3 linked regions of the Drosophila melanogaster genome follow. The protein of the gene in region 1 interacts with the protein of each later gene in a biochemical or structural test. Each region holds a gene or a part of one and is shown in the gene's direction. Other genes may lie near its edges.

What was found.
Region 2: the proteins of Fancl (region 1) and Fancd2 form a complex in vitro, tested with the Drosophila melanogaster proteins (one study listed by BioGRID).
Region 3: the proteins of Fancl (region 1) and FANCI form a complex in vitro, tested with the Drosophila melanogaster proteins (one study listed by BioGRID).

What each region holds. Positions count from the first base shown.
Region 1 is NT_033777.3:10,051,000-10,054,612, reverse strand, and holds Fancl (fancl), read left to right. Parts: upstream 1-1,743; 5' UTR 1,744-1,806; coding exon 1,807-1,917; intron 1,918-1,974; coding exon 1,975-2,970; intron 2,971-3,027; coding exon 3,028-3,066; 3' UTR 3,067-3,105; downstream 3,106-3,613. Other genes in the region: Npc2e (Niemann-Pick type C-2e), read right to left, coding at 353-684, 743-850, 1,149-1,215; ohgt (ohgata), read right to left, coding at 3,292-3,599. UniProt on the Drosophila melanogaster protein: Ubiquitin ligase protein that mediates monoubiquitination of Fancd2. Ubiquitination of Fancd2 is stimulated by ionising radiation.
Region 2 is NT_033777.3:20,810,274-20,818,064, reverse strand, and holds Fancd2 (Fancd2), read left to right. Parts: upstream 1-1,874; 5' UTR 1,875-1,971; coding exon 1,972-2,046; intron 2,047-2,112; coding exon 2,113-2,867; intron 2,868-2,972; coding exon 2,973-3,114; intron 3,115-3,170; coding exon 3,171-3,239; intron 3,240-3,293; coding exon 3,294-3,484; intron 3,485-3,540; coding exon 3,541-3,613; intron 3,614-3,674; coding exon 3,675-3,844; intron 3,845-3,911; coding exon 3,912-4,399; intron 4,400-4,453; coding exon 4,454-4,652; intron 4,653-4,705; coding exon 4,706-4,828; intron 4,829-4,888; coding exon 4,889-5,916; intron 5,917-5,972; coding exon 5,973-6,197; intron 6,198-6,252; coding exon 6,253-6,472; intron 6,473-6,529; coding exon 6,530-7,208; 3' UTR 7,209-7,261; downstream 7,262-7,791. Other genes in the region: CG17270 (uncharacterized protein), read left to right, coding at 265-425, 480-570, 638-756, 851-987. UniProt on the Drosophila melanogaster protein: Required for maintenance of chromosomal stability. Together with Fancl, and probably Fanci, involved in DNA repair of damage caused by agents that induce interstrand cross-links but not agents that cause double strand breaks.
Region 3 is NT_033778.4:8,934,019-8,941,566, reverse strand, and holds FANCI (fanconi anemia complementation group I), read left to right. Parts: upstream 1-1,777; 5' UTR 1,778-1,813; coding exon 1,814-1,885; intron 1,886-1,943; coding exon 1,944-2,398; intron 2,399-2,458; coding exon 2,459-2,694; intron 2,695-2,753; coding exon 2,754-2,863; intron 2,864-2,918; coding exon 2,919-3,369; intron 3,370-3,425; coding exon 3,426-3,514; intron 3,515-3,572; coding exon 3,573-3,685; intron 3,686-3,747; coding exon 3,748-4,013; intron 4,014-4,065; coding exon 4,066-4,409; intron 4,410-4,463; coding exon 4,464-4,804; intron 4,805-4,865; coding exon 4,866-5,197; intron 5,198-5,254; coding exon 5,255-6,026; intron 6,027-6,085; coding exon 6,086-6,950; 3' UTR 6,951-6,991; downstream 6,992-7,548. Other genes in the region: CG13748 (uncharacterized protein), read right to left, coding at 757-1,098.

The sequences.
Region 1 (3,613 bases):
AACTTTTGACCATATGGTCAATGCGATCTACGGCGGCCAATAAATGATTATCACGACGATTTTATTAGCCAATTGTGCCACTGAATCAGTGGAAATAAATTAATAGACTTTCGGTGCAAAAAGGAACGTCACAAATGACTGTATATAAATAAATACGCTTGAATATCTAATCGGCGGTGCCCAGAAATGTGTTAATCTTCAGCCTGATTGTGCACTGAGTACACTGGAATTCGTGACGTAGCCAAGGTAAACAAATGGTCTTATCTGTGCAAGAGTTTTGTGGTTTATTATTTGGCAAACAAGTGGAAATATTCAGTCGGCCGAAACGGCTGGAGTTGCGTACATCGTCGGCTTAAAGGGGGTTCGTCCAGTCCAACAGATATCCGTCCATCTGTGCTGCAGTGGCTCCCTTCCGGATTTTACAGCTCACGACGAAGCAGGTGATCGGTTCGTTCTGCGCATCGTTCAACGTGACAGTGACATCCGCCGTTATTTCCGGGAACGAAGGCTCCACATAGAAGTTGAACTGATACGTGACATCCTCGTCCTTGTCGATGGGACAGATGGCACCGTACAGGAGATTGCGGCACACATCGGACACTTCGTCGGGTAGGGCATATGGCAGATTCATGCCCAAAACCTTTGCCGTTGTGGTGGCCGTAATGCTCTTGATATTGTTGTTATCTGCAAGACATCGATGATGAGATTCAAGTGGACACGGATATAGATGGCCGAAACTTACTGCCCAGGAAGTGCACCTCCATGACTGCTATGGTTCCTTTGTACACAACGCACGGCGGTTCCTCGCAATCCTTAATATTCACATCCAGTGGAAACGGCTTATTTTTGCCTGAAAGCGGAAATATGTTTTCGAAGAATCAAAAGGTGAGCTCAAAAGAAGGCTATGTTTTTTTTTCTAAGAGATTAGCTGTTTGTTGATAAGCCATATCAACCTGGCCAACAGATACACGTTAGGACTTTAAATTTCTCTCAGAACGTATTTTTGGCAATAGTTTTCGAGACAAAGTCTGCGAAGTGAATCATCGTCATAGAAATCTGTTAGAATCATGAATCCAATCTAACAAACTGGTCGATTTAAAATGATTTGATGTTTTTCCAACAAAATAAAAGAGTTTTTAGCTACTTACACTGCTGGACATTGGTGGCATTGACTGTGGCCAGAATTAGAGCCAAAGTTACAACGATTCGCAGCATTTTTCTGGATGGAATCTTTTTTAATCTTACTTCAGAAGAATACAATATACATTGAGTACGCGCGCACGCAGATGACAATCGTGAGTGGAATCGATGGGGCTGGTGGAGAACCTTAAATAGCCCCGTGTTCGAACGATGACCAACGCCTGTAGAGAGCAGTTTATCAAAATCGGTGGCTATTGCCATTGATACGGGGCCGCCACGCAGGTGTTACAAAAGAAAACCACTGTGGCCTGCAGGTGTTGCGCTCTGACGAAGAGCAAACAATGCCGATTCGAATCAGTAAATAACGTAAATTTGGCTGATAAGTAGGGAGAGGCTGAACTACAATGTTGCCGGCTATACCTAGTAAACAAAACAGCCAGAGGGTGAATATGTAAGCAAGGCGGAATATTGGCTCGAAGGGTTAATAAACATATAATTTAAGGTTTGATCGAGCAATCAAATTTAAAAAAGCGGCCGATTAATTTCCTATCGATCGTGATTGAAGACTTTGTGTCATCGAAGACTGCACATCTCTAACTATGGCCGTTCAAAACATAAAATGTAAACAAAAGTCATTCAAGCACAATCTGACCAAAATCAAATATAATGGAAAGTAACGAAGATGTAGAGCGCCTTCTGTGTCAAAAGTATCCTGGTCTGGCAGCGGAGCTTCAGCCAAGTGGAGCGTGCATCATCAGAGGAGTTTTGGGCAGTGAGGTAAGTTATCCGTATTTCAATTTTTCCCGCCAAACTAATAATGATTGTATAATTAAGGATACATGGCGCCGCCTTAAACTCTATCTGCCACACCACCCAGCTCTTCATGGTTTCCAGCTCTACGTCCAGGAAAGCTTGGAGTACAAGCTGTACACATCGGCTAATCTCAAGTTACAGGACGATTGGCTGCTGGAGGATTTTCTGGACCATTTGCCAAAGATTCTTCCTGCCCAAAAAGCCCCAACAGTGCCAAAGGAACTATGTCGGGAGGGGAACATATATTACGATATCCTGGCCTTGTACAAGTCAAACGAGTACTGCCTGCAAGTGGACGAGGCCTGTTCCATGATTCGTTTCAGCGAATTCACCGACTTCGAGCAGCATTATCTGGAGCTTAAGATCCCGTCTCTTCTCTTGCTTGATCACAGTTTGCCCGACTGCGTATCGCTGGGTGAAATGCTGACCAAGAGTGCTGGAAACCTAGAGGAGGCCCTAAACCTCTTTCGCAAGCTTCTCGAGGATCTGCGTCCCTTCTACGACAACTTCATGGATATCGACGAGCTTTGTCATGTGCTGCAACCATCGCCCATCAGCAGCAAACACAAAACACGACTGTTCCCTCTCAAGGATCGCGTCTACTTGAAGCTGACCATCGCGGATCCCTTTGCCTGCATTGCATCCATGTCGCTAAAGATCATTGGGCCCACGGAAGAGGTGGCCCGCCTGCGCCACGTTCTCAGCGATGGTCTAAGTAACTGGGACTCCGAAATGAACATTCACAAGAACCTACTCCGAATGTTCGACTTGTGCTACTTTCCCATGCCAGACTGGTCGGATGGACCCAAGCTGGATGAAGAGGACAACGAAGAGCTGCGCTGTAACATTTGCTTTGCCTATCGCCTGGATGGTGGCGAGGTGCCCCTCGTCTCCTGCGACAATGCCAAATGTGTGCTAAAGTGCCATGCCGTCTGTTTGGAGGAGTGGTTTAAGACTCTGATGGATGGCAAGACCTTTCTGGAGGTCTCCTTCGGCCAGTGTCCCTTCTGCAAGGCGGTAATATTGCCTATCATTTCATCTATTGCCAATGTACAACTGCTTTATCTTTTTCAGAAGCTGTCCACCTCATTTGCGGCACTTTTAAATGATTGAAATTTGTAACCATAATATTAAAAGCAAATATTTAAGAGTAACTTATTATTCAAATAATCGTAAATATCAATTAGGTTTACATCCACGCCATCAAACGCCGTGTGTTTTTGCTAAAAGTAGTTGTGAAACGAATTAAACAGGTCCCACCTGATGGACCGCATCATTCTCCTGACGACGCCAGCAGCAGAGTTGACATCTGAAAAATCGCTTCACAACGCGCCAGCCTCATTCCATATCGCTTGAGATCATCCGCATCATATTCCGCACCACATAGGTGGTTCCATTGAAGGGCGAGTACTCGCTGGCTTTTCCAATCCGCACGCTGGAGCCGGCCAAACCGAAAAACACCTTGGGTGTTAGGTTGGGATGCACGGCCTTGAACTCCCACCCGACGTGCTGGGCGCAGAACTTGCACAGAATAATGTGCCACTGATAGCCGGGGAACCAGCTAAACTTTGTGGACGGCTCGCCGCTGTAGCCGATGGCATGGGATATCACCCGGTACACGGTGTTTGTCTCGTGGATGTAGCCCTCTGTAAAGTAGTTA
Region 2 (7,791 bases), about 11 Mb from region 1:
ACATTCGTTACACGAATACGAGTAGGCATAAAAAAACCTTACGACGAATTGTTACATTGTACATTCTATTACAAGTTTTCTGCAGTATAATGACCATTTTGTCAAAATTTCAAATAATTTTCTAAATATATAACCCTGATATGTGTAATAAAGTCTTCAAGTTGTGTTGGACATTAGACCAATTGGTAAACCCATTCCTTAGATTAAATTATTTTCCTTTAAAGGGAGAATGGATATTAAATAACACAGAAAATTTACTTGTAGGGCTGCCATGCAGTCTGGCGGACGACCCCGCGAGCGATTGCTGTACGCCTTCCGGGGATGGATAGCATTCGTGGCCTTCATGGACCTGGGCACGGCCTTTAGGAGCTACATAGAAAGACGCAGCTTCCTGGGCGATCACAGCGACACCCAGTTCATAGAGGGTAAGTGGGGATGGATTGAGCTGCTGGAGTCGCATTTGATGGGTTCTTTCACAGGGGACTACACCATATCGCGGATCATCGGGATGTACTGCCTGCTGAAGGCCATCGCTCTCGTCCACTGCACCCTCTACATTCACTACAAGCCGTAAGTGAATCCCATATATCCTCTGGTTAGATTATCGTCACTAATGGGGATATTTCCCTACGTTTAGGGTGGTCAGCATGGGCGGCTGCTCATTGGCCCTCACCATGGTCTTCTATGCCACCGAGGCACTCTACTTTCGCTCCAGCACCATTAACTTCTACGTGATCTTCCCGTGTGTGCTAAATTGTAAGTAAACACAACTAAAATTCAGTAATAACAAATTATATCTTTTTTGTAACACCCCGAACCATTTAGTAAATTGAATCTTTCGCCTTTTTAGCTATAACTCTACTGGGCCTCATCTATATACCCAAACGACTGCGGCTCTGGGAGCCAAATATGGATCTGGATGACGAAAACTCACAGCTGCTCAAGCAAATGACGGGCTTCAAGAGACGACGAGCGAAAAAACAATAGTTTATTACTATCTAGAAATATGAAAAGCAATAACCGGAAGACACTGAGTTGAGTTTCCGTTAGCACAGTATTGTGAAAGAATCGCAAATTTCGCTTTGGACTGCATTGGTGTGATAGAATCGGCATCATGTTCATCATTATATATACTCAATAGCAATACTGAAAACAACGCCAAATTAGTGATTTTCTATGAACTAGGTAGTGAAGGGTCTAAATGGCCCCGGAATAAGTCAATTTCTGGCATAATCACTTCAAGACATACATATGTTGTACTTCCTTTTTATAAAGCGTATTTATATACATTTAAAAATGTATGGCACAATAGAGTTTTTGCACTTTTAAGAGTTGAAAATCGATACTAGGAAATATTTATCTAATTATCAGAGACATCTAGCACCCGAGTTAAATAATTAAAATCGAAAGGCTTTAAATTAACAAATAAGCTCATAATCATCTTATTTACATATACGATTATCAATTTATGGATCATGCTTCCGTATCGATCATAAAATTAAGGAACATTTTATAGTCATTACGTATGATTGAATGTTATGTAAACCTAAAAAAAAGAAAATACAATAATAGTTTTGTACGAATTATGTAGATTATGTTTCAATAAAAATTTGAATTGACGAAAGTGGATTTTTATTTAGACTTCTACACACAGTGCTCTAAAGGTCGTTTCTTCATTTATTTTGTTAGATTTTAATTAGTAATGTTAAAAAAAAATAAGTATTTCTATAAGAGTTGAATTATTAGTTAATTTTTATAATCATTTGAAAATCGTAAAATTTGTATAAGAATTGTTACGATATTCGTTATTGCGCTTAGCGAATTCACGAACCTCGACCACCGCGGCTATCGATAAAAACTGATGTCAATGCTCGGTCACACTGCACCTGCATACGCGCCATTAAATTGTTTTGTTTTTATTATTTTGTGATTTAAGATTGAAGATTGAAGCTTATAAAGCTTTCCAGTACTATGTATAAACAATTTAAAAAACGCTCAAAGAAACCTCTGAACACCATCGATGAGAACGCGACCATAAAAGTGCCGGTAAGTGGACATTCGGACCAGTCGGAATTTGGAACTCCATTTACTTGACCAAAATCTGTGTTTCAGCGCCTGGCGGAGACGACCACAAATATATCCGTTGAGTCCTCATCTGGCGGAAGCGAGGAGAACATACCCGCCTCCCAGGAGCACACGCAGCGATTTCTGTCGCAGCACAGTGTTATCCTGGCCGCCACTCTGGGTCGCACTCAATCCTCCAGCCGGAACATTGCAACGCTCTCCCGACAACCGAACAACTTTTTCGAACTGGTCCTGGTTCGAGCAGGGGTCCAGTTGGACCAGGGTGATAGCCTCATCCTGGCCTGCGATCATGTCCCCATAGTCTCCAAGCTGCGGGAAATCTTTACGAGTGCCTCCTCGTATACCGACAAAATGGAGACATTCAAGACGGGTCTGAATGCTGCAATGGCGCCTGGGTCGAAGCTGGTGCAGAAGCTCCTAACCGGCTGCACCGTGGACGCAGCTGGCGAGGAACAGATCTACCAGTCCCAGAACAGCATGTTTATGAACTTCCTCATGATCGACTTTATGCGAGATGCCTGCGTGGAGGTGCTGCTGAACAAGATCGAGGAGGTGGCCAAATCTGATCGAGTCATAATGGGCAAAGCAGCTATTCCCTTGCCACTGCTACCGCTGATGCTGACGCAACTGCGCTACTTGACCGCCTCGCACAAAGTAGAGATCTACAGTCGCATCGAGGTCATTTTCAACAGGGCTACGGAATCGGCCAAATTGGACATCATAGCCAATGCTGAGTTGATACTCGATGCCAGTATGCACGATGAGTTCGTCGAGCTGCTTAAGTAAGTAAAATTATTTAAAGCAGAGCAGAAGAATTTGTGTACTCGCTCGCTCTATGGACTATCTACGTTCTTTCTTACTAATCGTATAATTTAATTTCGTGGCAGCATCAACTATTCCAGCACTGAAGACCTCTTTCACATGACCACAGTGCAAACTCTGGGTAACTTATCGCTTTCAGACAGAACGCAGGCCAAGTTACGAGTGCGCATTTTGGACTTCGCCACAAGTGGTCAATGTTCGGATGCGGTAATTTGAAAATTAGACCGATTCTAGAATTCTATTTAAATGTTTTGTTATCTTAGATCTTGCCGCATCTCATCAGGCTGCTGCTTAACGTTCTGAAAATTGATACAGATGACAGCGTGCGCGACGTAAGGTTCTTACTCCGTTCCCTAAGCATTCGGTTTCAGTTCGTTCATTTGCAGTTGATAGGCAGCCTGCGTGGAATCTTCAACTGGCGTCACACAAATGAGACGGAAAAAATCTCGGCAAGCGAAGACAGTAAGAAGTCTCAGCTGGAACTTTTTGGCTTCCTAGAACTAGGCTTGATACGATCGAAGAAGTTTTATCAAGCGTGCCAAAGGTCATCTGCTAGTGTGCCAGCTGCCGAATTTACGTGAGTACATAGACTGGCCTATACGAATTCAAGTTTAAATAATTACATATTTGCAGCTCCTTTGACATGATACTTCTGCTTTTGTTGATACATGTTAATGAAGATAATTCATTGTACATCGAAAATATTGTAAGTATTCCTTAAAAAATAAAAAAAAAAATAAATTCATTACATTTTACTAATTCGTCAGCTTCGACGACGCATTAAACTGGAGCATATTACAGTGAGCATTTTGGAAGAGATACGACAGCACTATAGACACATCCTGGAGCAGCACATAACCACACTGATGAACATCCTTCACGACTTTATGCGAGAGAAAAATCGCATCGTGTCCGATTTCGCCAAATCTTCGTACAGGTGTGGTTACCTAAAGAACCCTAAAGAAAAATCATATTAATTTCTACTTTGTTTTTTTTTTTTGCAGTATACTTTTTAAGATTTTTAACTCGATCCAGAAAAATATTCTAAAGAAGCTGTTGGAGCTTACCTGTGACAAATCATCGCCCCACCTGACAACAATGGCACTGGAATTGCTTCGCGAGCTGCAACGAAAGAGTGCCAAGGATGTTCAGAATTGTGCAACTCTACTTATACCCATGCTGGATAGGATAAGTGATCTAAGTCTTACACAAACCCGCGTTGCTATGGACCTTCTGTGCCATGTCGCATTTCCGGATCCAAATCTATCGCCCTGCCTGCAACTCCAAGAGCAAGTCGATATGGTGGTTAAAAAGCAGCTGATCAACTCCATTGATAATATTAAAAAGCAGGGAATTATTGGCTGTGTGCAACTCATCGATGCAATGGCACGCATCGCGAACAATGGTGTTGATCGTGACGAGTTTATTGCCAGCGTGGAAAACGTCGATTCCTTGCCCGATGGCCGAGGCAAAATGGCTGCCAACTTAATCAGTAATTAAGTGCCTGACATACTTAAACGTGTATATTAATATTTTTTCCATGCAGTACGCACCGAGGCATCAATAGGAAATAGTACCGAGTCCTTAGCCCTGTTTTTTGAAGAACTGGCCACGGTTTTCAATCAGCGCAATGAAGGAACCTCCGGCTGTGAGTTGGACAACCAATTCATTGCTTGGGCCTGCGACTTAGTGACATTCCGCTTCCAGGCAAGCTTTGTCACCGAGAATGTGCCCGAGACTTTAAAGTATGTACTGACTTTTTTAAACAAGTATGTCGCTAATCAAATTTGCTTTTAAGGGGAATTAAACTGGAATATCAGTTAAATATCAATGAATTGGACGATACAGATGCAAACACTGAATCGGATGTCCTTAATATTGGCATAAATATCTCAAAACTAGTTTTATCACCCAAAGTGAAGTGAGTTTCTTATCTCATGAGTTTCATAAAGCTTTTGTATTTTAACGTACCCATTTACAGAGCTTGTGATTCTATATACGTGCTGGCTCCTCTGTTCAACTATGTCAGAGTGCTGTACAAGCACCGCCACCAAGACAGCTTGGAGAGCATCAATGCTTTACTAGGCTGTGCCATTGTGTTGCCCTCATTCTTTGAGGATGACAACTATGTGTCCGTTTTTGAAAACTTTGAGGCGGAGCAGCAAAAAGACATTTTGAGCATTTACTTTCACACCGTCAATTGGATGAGGGTGTCGATCAGTGCGTTTGCATCACAACGTGATCCTCCCACACGGCGTCGAGTTCTATCTAGACTTGGAGAACTAATTCGTATCGAGCAGAGAATGAAGCCCCTCCTGGCGAGAGCGCCCGTCGACTTCGTGGCACCGCCATATCAATTCCTCACCAACGTCAAGCTCTCGAACCAGAATCAGAAACGTCCAGGGCCTAAGCCAGCTGCCAAACTAAACGCAACTCTACCAGAACCCGATTTAACTGGTAATCAACCATCGATCGCTGACTTCACCATTAAGGTTGGCCAGTGCAAGACCGTTAAGACGAAGACTGACTTTGAGCAGATGTATGGGCCGCGGGAGAGATACAGGCCAATGGAAGTGGAAATCATCATGCTCTTGGTCGAGCAGAAGTTTGTCCTGAACCACCAGCTGGAAGAGGAGCAAATGGGGGAGTTTCTTGGTCTTCTGGAGCTACGATTCCTGCTGGAAGACGTGGTTCAAAAACTTGAAGCAGCAGTCCTTCGACATCACGATTCTTATGATGCGGACAGCTTTAGGCCGCATCTGGCCAAACCGGAGGATTTTATTTGCGATCTACTTCCATGCCTACACGAGGTGAATAATCACCTAATAACCCTGGGCGAGGCCATTGACAATCAGCTTACGGAAGTCAGTCATGTGTACAGCAATCTGGATCTGTTTAAGGATCAATTTTGCTATATCAAATCGTGCTTTGGGCTGTGCGTCCGGCTGTTTGCCTTGTACTTCGCCTGGAGCGAGTGGAGTGATAAGTCGCAGGAACAACTGCTCCATAGTAAGGTGTTTTAAATTTTACGCAAACCTTAAAATGTAACGTTACTATTTTTGCAGAGTCTTTGCTTAAGCTACAGCCTAAAACACAATGGAAGAGACTAGAGAAGCAAAGTGTTCCTCAGCTGGCCAACCTAACTTTTCAATACTTTCTAAAGTATGAGAAATCCGTCCTGAATCTTAGTACTGCAGTACATCTTCATCGATTGTTGTGTAACTTGTTAAAGCTGGGCAGTTTACAGAGCGATGCTAGCCAACCGAGATTTCAGCAAGCCGAGGACTTACGTAAGCACTAACCATGAAATATGAAGTGCAATTTTAGAATTTATTACTCATGCAGGGATACTGTGTGGCACGCTGCTGCGCCGTAAATGGTTCCACTACTCTGGCACCTTGGACAAAGGTGGTCAGTGCAATATTTATTTGGACGAGCTGGTTAAGGGATTCCTGAAAAAATCGAATGCCAAGAGTCAAACCGAACTACTTACTGAGCTGGTTAAACAATGCAGCATACTGAATACGAAGGACAAAGCACTGACATCCTTCCCCAACTTTAAAAAGTAAGAAAATCAGTTGATCCGTATTTTGTATGTTTTATTAATTCTTTCCCCTCATAGGGCCAACTTCCCACTACTCTTTCGTGGACTGTGCGAGGTGCTTATTCACTCCCTAAGTGGTCAAGTTAGCGTCGACAGCCGTGGTGATAAATTGAAGTTATGGGAGTCAGCAGTCGATTTGTTGAATGGCTTGCTCAGCATTGTGCAGCAGGTGGAACAGCCCAGAAACTTTGGGCTGTTTCTAAAACACTCCCTGCTATTCCTTAAATTGCTGCTTCAGCACGGAATGTCTGCGCTGGAATCTATTGTTCGGGAAGATCCCGAAAGGCTAACAAGGTTTTTGCACGAGCTCCAGAAGGTGACACGCTTTCTGCACCAACTCTGCTGTCATTCCAAGTCCATTAAGAATACGGCTATAATCAGCTATATTCCCAGCCTGCGGGAAACGATTGAGACGCTGGTCTTCCGAGTCAAAGCCCTGTTGGCTGCCAACAACTGTCATTCTGCTTTCCACATGGGAAATATGATCAACAGGGATCTCCACGGAGATTCTATCATAACACCCAGGAGTTCCTTCGCCGGCGAGGAAAACAGCGACGATGAATTACCTGCGGACGACACCAGCGTAGATGAAACCGTCTTGGGCGATGACATGGGCATCACCGCCGTTAGCGTGAGCACAAGGCCCAGCGATGGGAGTCGTCGGAGCAAGTCCTCCTCCCGCAGCAAATGCTTTTAAATAGCGTAATACGACTAATAAGAATTTCAAATAAATCAGTGACGTTGACGCAGAGTCATGGCGTTTTATTTGTTTAGTAGTCTAGAATTGAGCAGACGACGATGTTTGCATTCTTTATTTATTTCATTTTATTATCTGGATGCAATTTTATTTAATTTTCGTATTACAAATAATAACAAATGTATGTATATCAAATATTTTAGTACAATATGCTTCATTTCATTTATTTTCTTCGTTAACAATAATTGTTTATTAAGACGTAAAAGTTGTTCTCCCATTTTTCTCACATTCGGCCTTCCTCTACGATGAACTCTGATTGTTTATTTTTATTATTTAATTTCCATTTGTTTTTATCTCGTAATAATTGGCGACGTTACGTTCACGGTTTATGAATCCCTTTCATACGTGTGGTATGTGTATGCAAATGTTTTGTGATGTTGTATATCAATTGGTTGTTTATAAAAGGGGGTTTAAAATCAAATCAATCAAGTATAATTGTATAGGTATATGTAATTAAAAGAGCAAGAAAACACACACAAACTATAAATTTAAAGTAAAACATAAATGGTCTACGAAAGTTAAT
Region 3 (7,548 bases), on another chromosome or scaffold:
GGCCCAAACAGACAATATGCTTATAATGTTTATAAATATTCAAAAAAATAAACCAGTTGTCTATCGCTGAATGGAATTTTGCAGGCTCCAATCGATTGAAAGTCAACAAACAAACATTCGTAGTTGCTAGAATTGTCTAGAAATTTGGATAAGATAGCATTGTTTTGTTTTTACCAAGAATAGTTGCTATTTAAGGGTTCTTTTATTAAATTTGTTATGTGATTACTAAAAAATGCACTAAAATAGTATAGTATGCATAGTATAGTATAGGTATTAACTTTTTAAGCATCTTCCAGATTCCAAAATAGTATACTATACATAGTATACTATAGGTATTAATTTTTTAAGCATCTTCCAGATTCTAGGAAATATTTGTGAGCTTCAGATGATCAGTAGACCTCTCCCACATCAGTGAACACCACATCGAGTTGGTCGTTATAAAAAACTCTTTATTCCATACAAGTATTTTATCACAATAACTTAAGCTCTAGATGGGTGGTGAGTGCTGGACGGACACACCCAGGAAAGTACAAAGTAGATGGATTCAATGACAGAAACTACATAAATATTAGGTAGAAGAAGGGACGGTTAGTCGCATGGATTGTGATGTTTGTGTGTGAGTTTGGGTGTGGAGAATGCTGCCTTTGGTTCGCTGGATTGCAGAGCTCGAGGGGAAGCAGCCGCCTTTGGCAACACATCGGTCGCGGAGGACCGATCGCTATCCGGATCGGAATGCGTATGCGGATGCGGAGAGCCCTACATGCCCTCGCAGGTGGACATGCAGTCCTTGTAGCTGGCGAAGTTGTTCTCGTTGCCGTCACAGCCGCCGAACTTGAACTCCACGCACTTCTTCTGCTCCGGATCGTAGCGCCAACGGGGGATCAGGGCGCGGCAGACGCCCTTGCGTGCCGGCATGAGGCAGAACTGCTCCGGATGGGTGTTGCGCCCGGTATTGGCCACATCGTCCAGCGAGATGGCGTCAAAGAAGTCGCTCACGTCGTCGTAGAGGTCCATGGGAAACGCCTCGCTCCATCTGATCCCCGCCAGCAGGATCAGCACCACTGCCACTCCAACGTACTCTTTCAGTTGTCCGCGCATTTTGTGTACTTGATTTAGCTTCGTATTTAATTCACTTGATCACTTGGCGATTGTCTTCACGCAACTGTTGGCGCTGCAGTCCAGCTTTTGGATTTATATGGTGCCACTTTGTAGTCCGAAGCGGGCGAAGGGAAGCGAATACTAGACAATACTCCCATCTAAGAGCCAGCAGAGCTTTCCGTTCGACTCCAACGCTCTTTGGTTACTCTTTCGAAGAGTCCGCTTTTGTACTGAAAATCCAAGTGTAGATATAACTACTTTTGTTTATTTACTGTTGTGAGCATTATCATCGTAAAACATACAACCATATTTTTTGTTTTTGTTATTTTATGGAAAAACAACCTGTTTGATTTTCTATATGGAGTAGACAAATAAATTTTTTCTTAAACTACAAATTTAAAGCTATTTTCCATTGGGTTTCATTGAAATAGTTTTTATATTTCAATTAGAAATATAGAATGCCTATTTCTTAGTTTTGAAATTGAAAATTAAATGTTTTATGGAAAAGATTACTGTTATCACTATTTATGGATTTTTTTAAAATTCCCGCCAATTGCATGCTATCGATATCAGTGGGTGGTGCAATCGGTAATCATATCAGGCATTTACCATTCCTAATTTGTGGTAGTTGGTGAAATCTGGCGCGTCTTTGTTTAAATCGTAAATTATTACATAAATTTAGTTGGGTATGGCACGCGAATCAATTCTAACGTGGATGCGGAGTCTGGGTGAGAAGGCGCGCTTTGATGAGCTGGAACTGCTCATTCAAAACACTCCAATAGAAAAGGTTGGACCCATAAGGCGGAAGGCAATATAAATCTTAATTGATAAACATTGCTTGATAGTTAAAGGAAACCCTTAAATCCACAATGACACGCAGCGAGGGCATAACGTATTGGAACTACCTTCTCCGTGGCTTCAATCCGGAGAGCAAGGATGCGCTAGCCAAGCGATTCGAATGTGTCCGCAGCTTCATGGACGGACTGAGCAGCACGGAACTGAGCTACAAACAGACTTTCGATCTGATCACGCGCCTGTCGCAGGACCTGGCCACCTTTCCGTCCGAGCAGCTGGCCTGGATCGTGGAGCACTGCATGGACGGGATCCGACAAGGAGACGCCAAGTGCGTCGGCTGGAAGGATTTGCTGCCGGACGCGCTGTCGCTGCTTTTGGCCAGACCGCGGTTTCTTCTGAACGGCATATCCATAGATGGAATGGAGTTCAGGGACACTACCGTAAGGAGCATTGCCACCATGCAATGGCCAGCCTCAATCCTCACGCCAATTGCCGACATGTTCAAGTGGGTGACCACCCTTAAATTAACCACAATTTAACCACACAACTCATACAATCCCCCTAGGACCATGAATCTTAGCAGTGGCGAAATTGTGACAGTACTCAACAAATTCTCTGGCGCCCTGCAGGAGCTATCTCCCATGGAACTCCCAGCGCTGTGCTTCCAGCTCTTTTCGATGTGCAGCACTGCTTCCCAGTTGATCATTCCGTTGCTGGCCCTGGAGAAGTATTTCCATCGCAACTACTACAAGCGGCTCTTCTCAGACATGTGTAGCAACTCAACGAACTTGGATAGCATTGGTGAGCCTGCACCATATAGAAGACTATATTCCTAGAAATTGACAGCATCTGATCTTTAGACTTGTTCTCGGACAAGGAACTAAGGGAGGCCGAAGAGACTATCCTGCATCACTTGAACTACTGTACTATGTACAAACTTACTGAAAAACATTTGGCCATAATGCTGAGAGTAAGCAGGTCCCAAATCAATCGATCGCTTAGTAACTTAACTAACCATGTTTCAGAACTTTCTGCACATGCCCGATGTGATCCTAACTCCGTTTATGCTTAGCGCCATTATCTCGATGACCAGCATTAATCGCGATCCAGAGTCCGCTAGAATATCTCATTCCATTTTGCTACCTTTTTTGCGCAATGTGATCAAAAACAACGAGGAAGAGCGAACGTTAGCCGACTACTCCGTGTGGTATCGGGATACATTGCAACGCAAGCAAGTCGATTTGCAGCAGGTCCTCACGGTGCTCATTGATCAGAACAAAGACGGCAAGGATGTGATAACTCCTGGGCTGGTTCATCTCGTATTTTACTTGCTGAAATCGCAATCGCCCAAGATGCACACATTGGCCATCACATTTCTAACCAAGTTCATTCGCAAGCGATTCATTTTTGGACAAGGCATCATAAAGCTTATTTCAGAGTGGATGATAGTATACCAGGAACAAAATCAGTTCTCGGGTAGGTCAAGCAAAATGTTCTTAATAATTCTATGCAACAAGAATACATATTTGCAGAATGCCTCACACTTCTAAGTGTGGCTGATACGTATACGGTCTCCGAGTGCATGAAACCAATTCAATCTGTTTTGGAGCACATGCAATGGGCAAGTTAGTCCAATGGCATAATTGTTCTTTAAGCTAACTCCGTTGTAAATATTTTAGCTGTCTGGTGAGCAGTCCATGCGCATGATGAACTTTATTCTACCTTTGCTAAAGATCTCTAATCGCGTCCGTGATGCGCTAATTGATGTACTTTGCAAAGCAATGAGCTCGAGGTGGGTCTAATTACCTGTTCGTGGTACTGTATTTACTTTTTATTCTGCACTTTATATTTTAGTGGAATTCAAAAACGGCGAATGGCGATTTATGGGTTCTGCATGATCCTCAAACAACTAAACAACAGCAATGCTGTGCGCCAGACCTCCAGCGCCACCAGTTTCTGCACTCAACACAGTATCTCTGGCTACTCCATAATGACCCAGAACACACTGGGAAGTCGTAGTAATCCTCAAAGAAATTTCGACATGCTCACGTTGGAAATTATTGGAATGTTGCGAAACTGCTTGCAACAACAATTCGATATACGGTGCTCCCTGTATGAAAGTGAGTCGAATGAAATCAAATAATACAACTTCTAATAATGCATTTCAAATAGATCTTCAGAGAGCAGTGGAGCTCAATGCTAAACTAGTGCCACATGTGCTGCAAGTCATTGACTGGCACTTTCGCAGCTTCTTCGACACCCCCTCTGCAGAGGATGCTGGTGACGATCTAGACACAGTATTCCGCATTCGCTACGATCAATTGGTTAGCTCTAGCGATGATCAACACATGGAGATTCAGCTTAAAGACAACCTGGGCAAGTTGATTCAGTTCGTGGCCAACTGCTTGGCTGTTTTCGATCGAGCTCCATCGGGCTACGACACTCGTGAGATGAATCGGCTCATGAGTTTCTGTGTGGATCGTATGGTGGCAAACAGATTACCCCTGGAAGAGATAGTGAGCAAGATTATTACTTTTAAATTTCAATAAACTAATGCCAACTGATTTCAGACGCCGCCAGCCACACATCTAAAATGTGCCCTCGTTCTGCAGCAACTGAATATCATTGAAGGAATTATTTGCCACTTATTGCTCAAATCCAAGCCACAAAACAATGCTGTTTGTCAAATATTGCCTCTTTTTAATCAGCATTGTAAGCTTTTGGAGAGTCTTAAGGCATTATCGGATGCATCCAAGAAAGCCCATAAACAGTTGAAGCAAACCGCCAAGAATAATAGCACATCAACGTGCAATTTGACACTGAACGGCGTCCCGGTGAAGACCATGTGTACACAGCCTGATAATATTTGGGACTTGGCCATATTGGATAAGCTGCTCCATCTACTTCTTGAGTTAGTAACCTTGACGTTAATCCTTTCTACTTCTTAAAACTGTTTTCAATTTTCCATTTAGTGACGTCGTAGCCTTTGCTGCTCCAGAAAAAACAGTGCTCTTGCGCTCCAACGAGCCCCTCGTCCGGTATGTTTTATCCGTAACGGCCAGCAGAGTGGAGTCTATACGCCTGGAGCCCGATTATAAGCAGTTGGCCTACAGTAAACGCACCTTTAAGCAATTGACGGACATTACAAAGGTCATTTACGAGCGCTGCATTCAACGCTTGCCGGAGCTGTGGAAAAATTTCGACATGCAGAGCGCCGCCCTAGCCACTCAGTGTTTTTCTGAATGCCTAAAAACAGCTCATGAAACGTACTCAAAGAAGTTCGAAGATTTTGTCAAGTCATTTGGTAAGTTAAGTCATGCTAAGTATATGAGGATAATCTAAACTATGGTAAAACTTTTAGATTTGGCATCTATAAAGGGAAGCAGAAACAAGGAAGTGGTTTACACAATTCAGGATGTTTTAGACGACTTTATGACGGAGTACGGCACTGATGATTCGATTTGTAAAAATGAGTTCGTTTCCAAATTGCCTGTTTACCTCTTGGAGTCGCTTGAAATTCTTTTGGATCACATTGACTACCAGGATCGTGCTGCCACCGAATCGTACACTTGGCTGCTAAATTTTTGCAGCAAAAACGAGATTCTCAACAGTGAAATGGGCCTGGTGCACAGAATGCTATTCGTTCAGCGTCAAAAGACCCACTTAGGTCCCTTCTTCGACAGTGTTGCTCGGCAATTGGGTCACGTACTGGGCGTACAAAATGAAGACGCTCCCTCAGAATCTGTGGAGCTAACTCTAAAGTCCATAAGTACAGTGACCATCGAGAGTTGCCTACAGCATCTGTATGCTGCCATCCAAAAGCAGCTGAACGATGTGGACTACTTTGTGACGAAAGCCAACAATCTAAACTACAAATGCCAAGTGGTTCCCGAAATTGACCAGATATATTGGCGGGGCAACCTGGATTCCATGGATCGTTCCATTTGCACACAAATAATCCACATAAGTCGCACTTTGCTGGTGCTCACAAACGTTTGTATTCCTCTAGGTTCTTTGATGGACGGTCTTATGAAGTTGTTGATTCAGCACTACACTTGTTTGAAAAGCCTGACCAAGCACTACATATCGAGCTACACATCAGATACGTCCATTGAGAACATTAAAAGCACCAAGTGAGTCCATCTAGTCGTAGATTTAATGGATATCTAATCTGCATTTTATTCTCCAACAGATTTGAACTTCTGCTACGTGCAGTTGGTAAACAACTTCCGGCGAATATTTACGAGCTCATCACGTACATAGAAGCTAATACCCTGGATGAGGAAGCGCAGCAGCATACAAAAAAGCGGAAGGTCCAGGCAGAACGTGCTAAAGTTCTGAGAGAGACTCGGCTAATTCCCAAGGTTATAATGGTTATCGAGGACTTCAATAAGCACATTATTCTCCTGTCCAAAAAGACCAAAAGCAAGAATAGACTTACGGACTACCTCCACTTGGGAACCATGCGCGACTTCGATATCAAGTCGACGGATTTGAGGGCAGCTATAGAGCGTAGTATCTCGGATGGCCGCAACATTTCTACCGAAGACAGTAATGCTGAGGATCGGGATGAGGATGAGGATGAAAATGAGAATGTAGAGGAAGACGATGACGCACAGTCCACCACGTATCCAGAGGACTTGGAGGAGAAGGAAGATGAATGCTTAGTCATAGAGAAGAAGGAAGAAAGGCGCAGGAGGCGTGCACCTAGCAGTGAAGCAGAGGATCCACAACCCAAACGAAAAAGAGGCCGCAAAGCTGCAGAACAGCTGGAAGCTGAAGATGAAGAGCAAGTCGAGGAAGAGCAGCCTGAAACGACTTTAAAATTAAGGCGAAACAAAAAAGTGGAGCCAAAAACCAAAAGGAGTGTGGCCATTAAAAAACCCGAGGAGCAGCCATCCCATGAGAGTCGTACCAGTAAAAGGTCAAAAGGTCCAGCGGATAAGCAAACAGCGGAGCCAGCCAAAGTGGATCTTTGCGTTCCCGAAGTGCCCGCTGAGAAGAAGAAACCACAACCTAGTCGTAGACTGGGAATACCTCGTACATTAAGGAAATGATGTTTTGTTAAAAAAAAGTATATTAAAAAGTATATGTATTTAAATCATGCCAGTCCATTGCTTATTCAAAAATGGTTGCGATTATCGCAATTACTTAATTTTCATTATGTGCTGTATTGCTGTTTTCTAGAATTTCCACATGTTCAAAAAGAAAAATTGTTCAATGTTTTTGTGAATCTTGTTCATTTAATATCATTGGAATTTTAGCTACCTAATCTCTGTAAATTAAAAGGCTGCTTCCCATTATTTATTAGTACTGCAAATAAAAAATATATATAAGTATATTCATAAGCGAAACTTGATAAATTAAACAATGTACTCACTTGCAGCGTGTGCCCATGTCCAGAAACAATAACACTTCCGTCATTGCCCACCGAGACAGTTCGTCCATCCGGACGCTTCCACACCGACACACTATCATCCCAAATTCCTGCTTGATCGTCACGAGCCACGAAGTTTTCTCCCTGGACGCGGCCATCTTTGATGCTGCGGCTGTCCCTTTCAACAATCAGTCCTTCAAAGCCCTTTGCCAAGGTCGCTCCACAGGAAACTGGGGACTACGCCTGCCCCTTTGGACAAAAAATCCTCCGGAACCCAC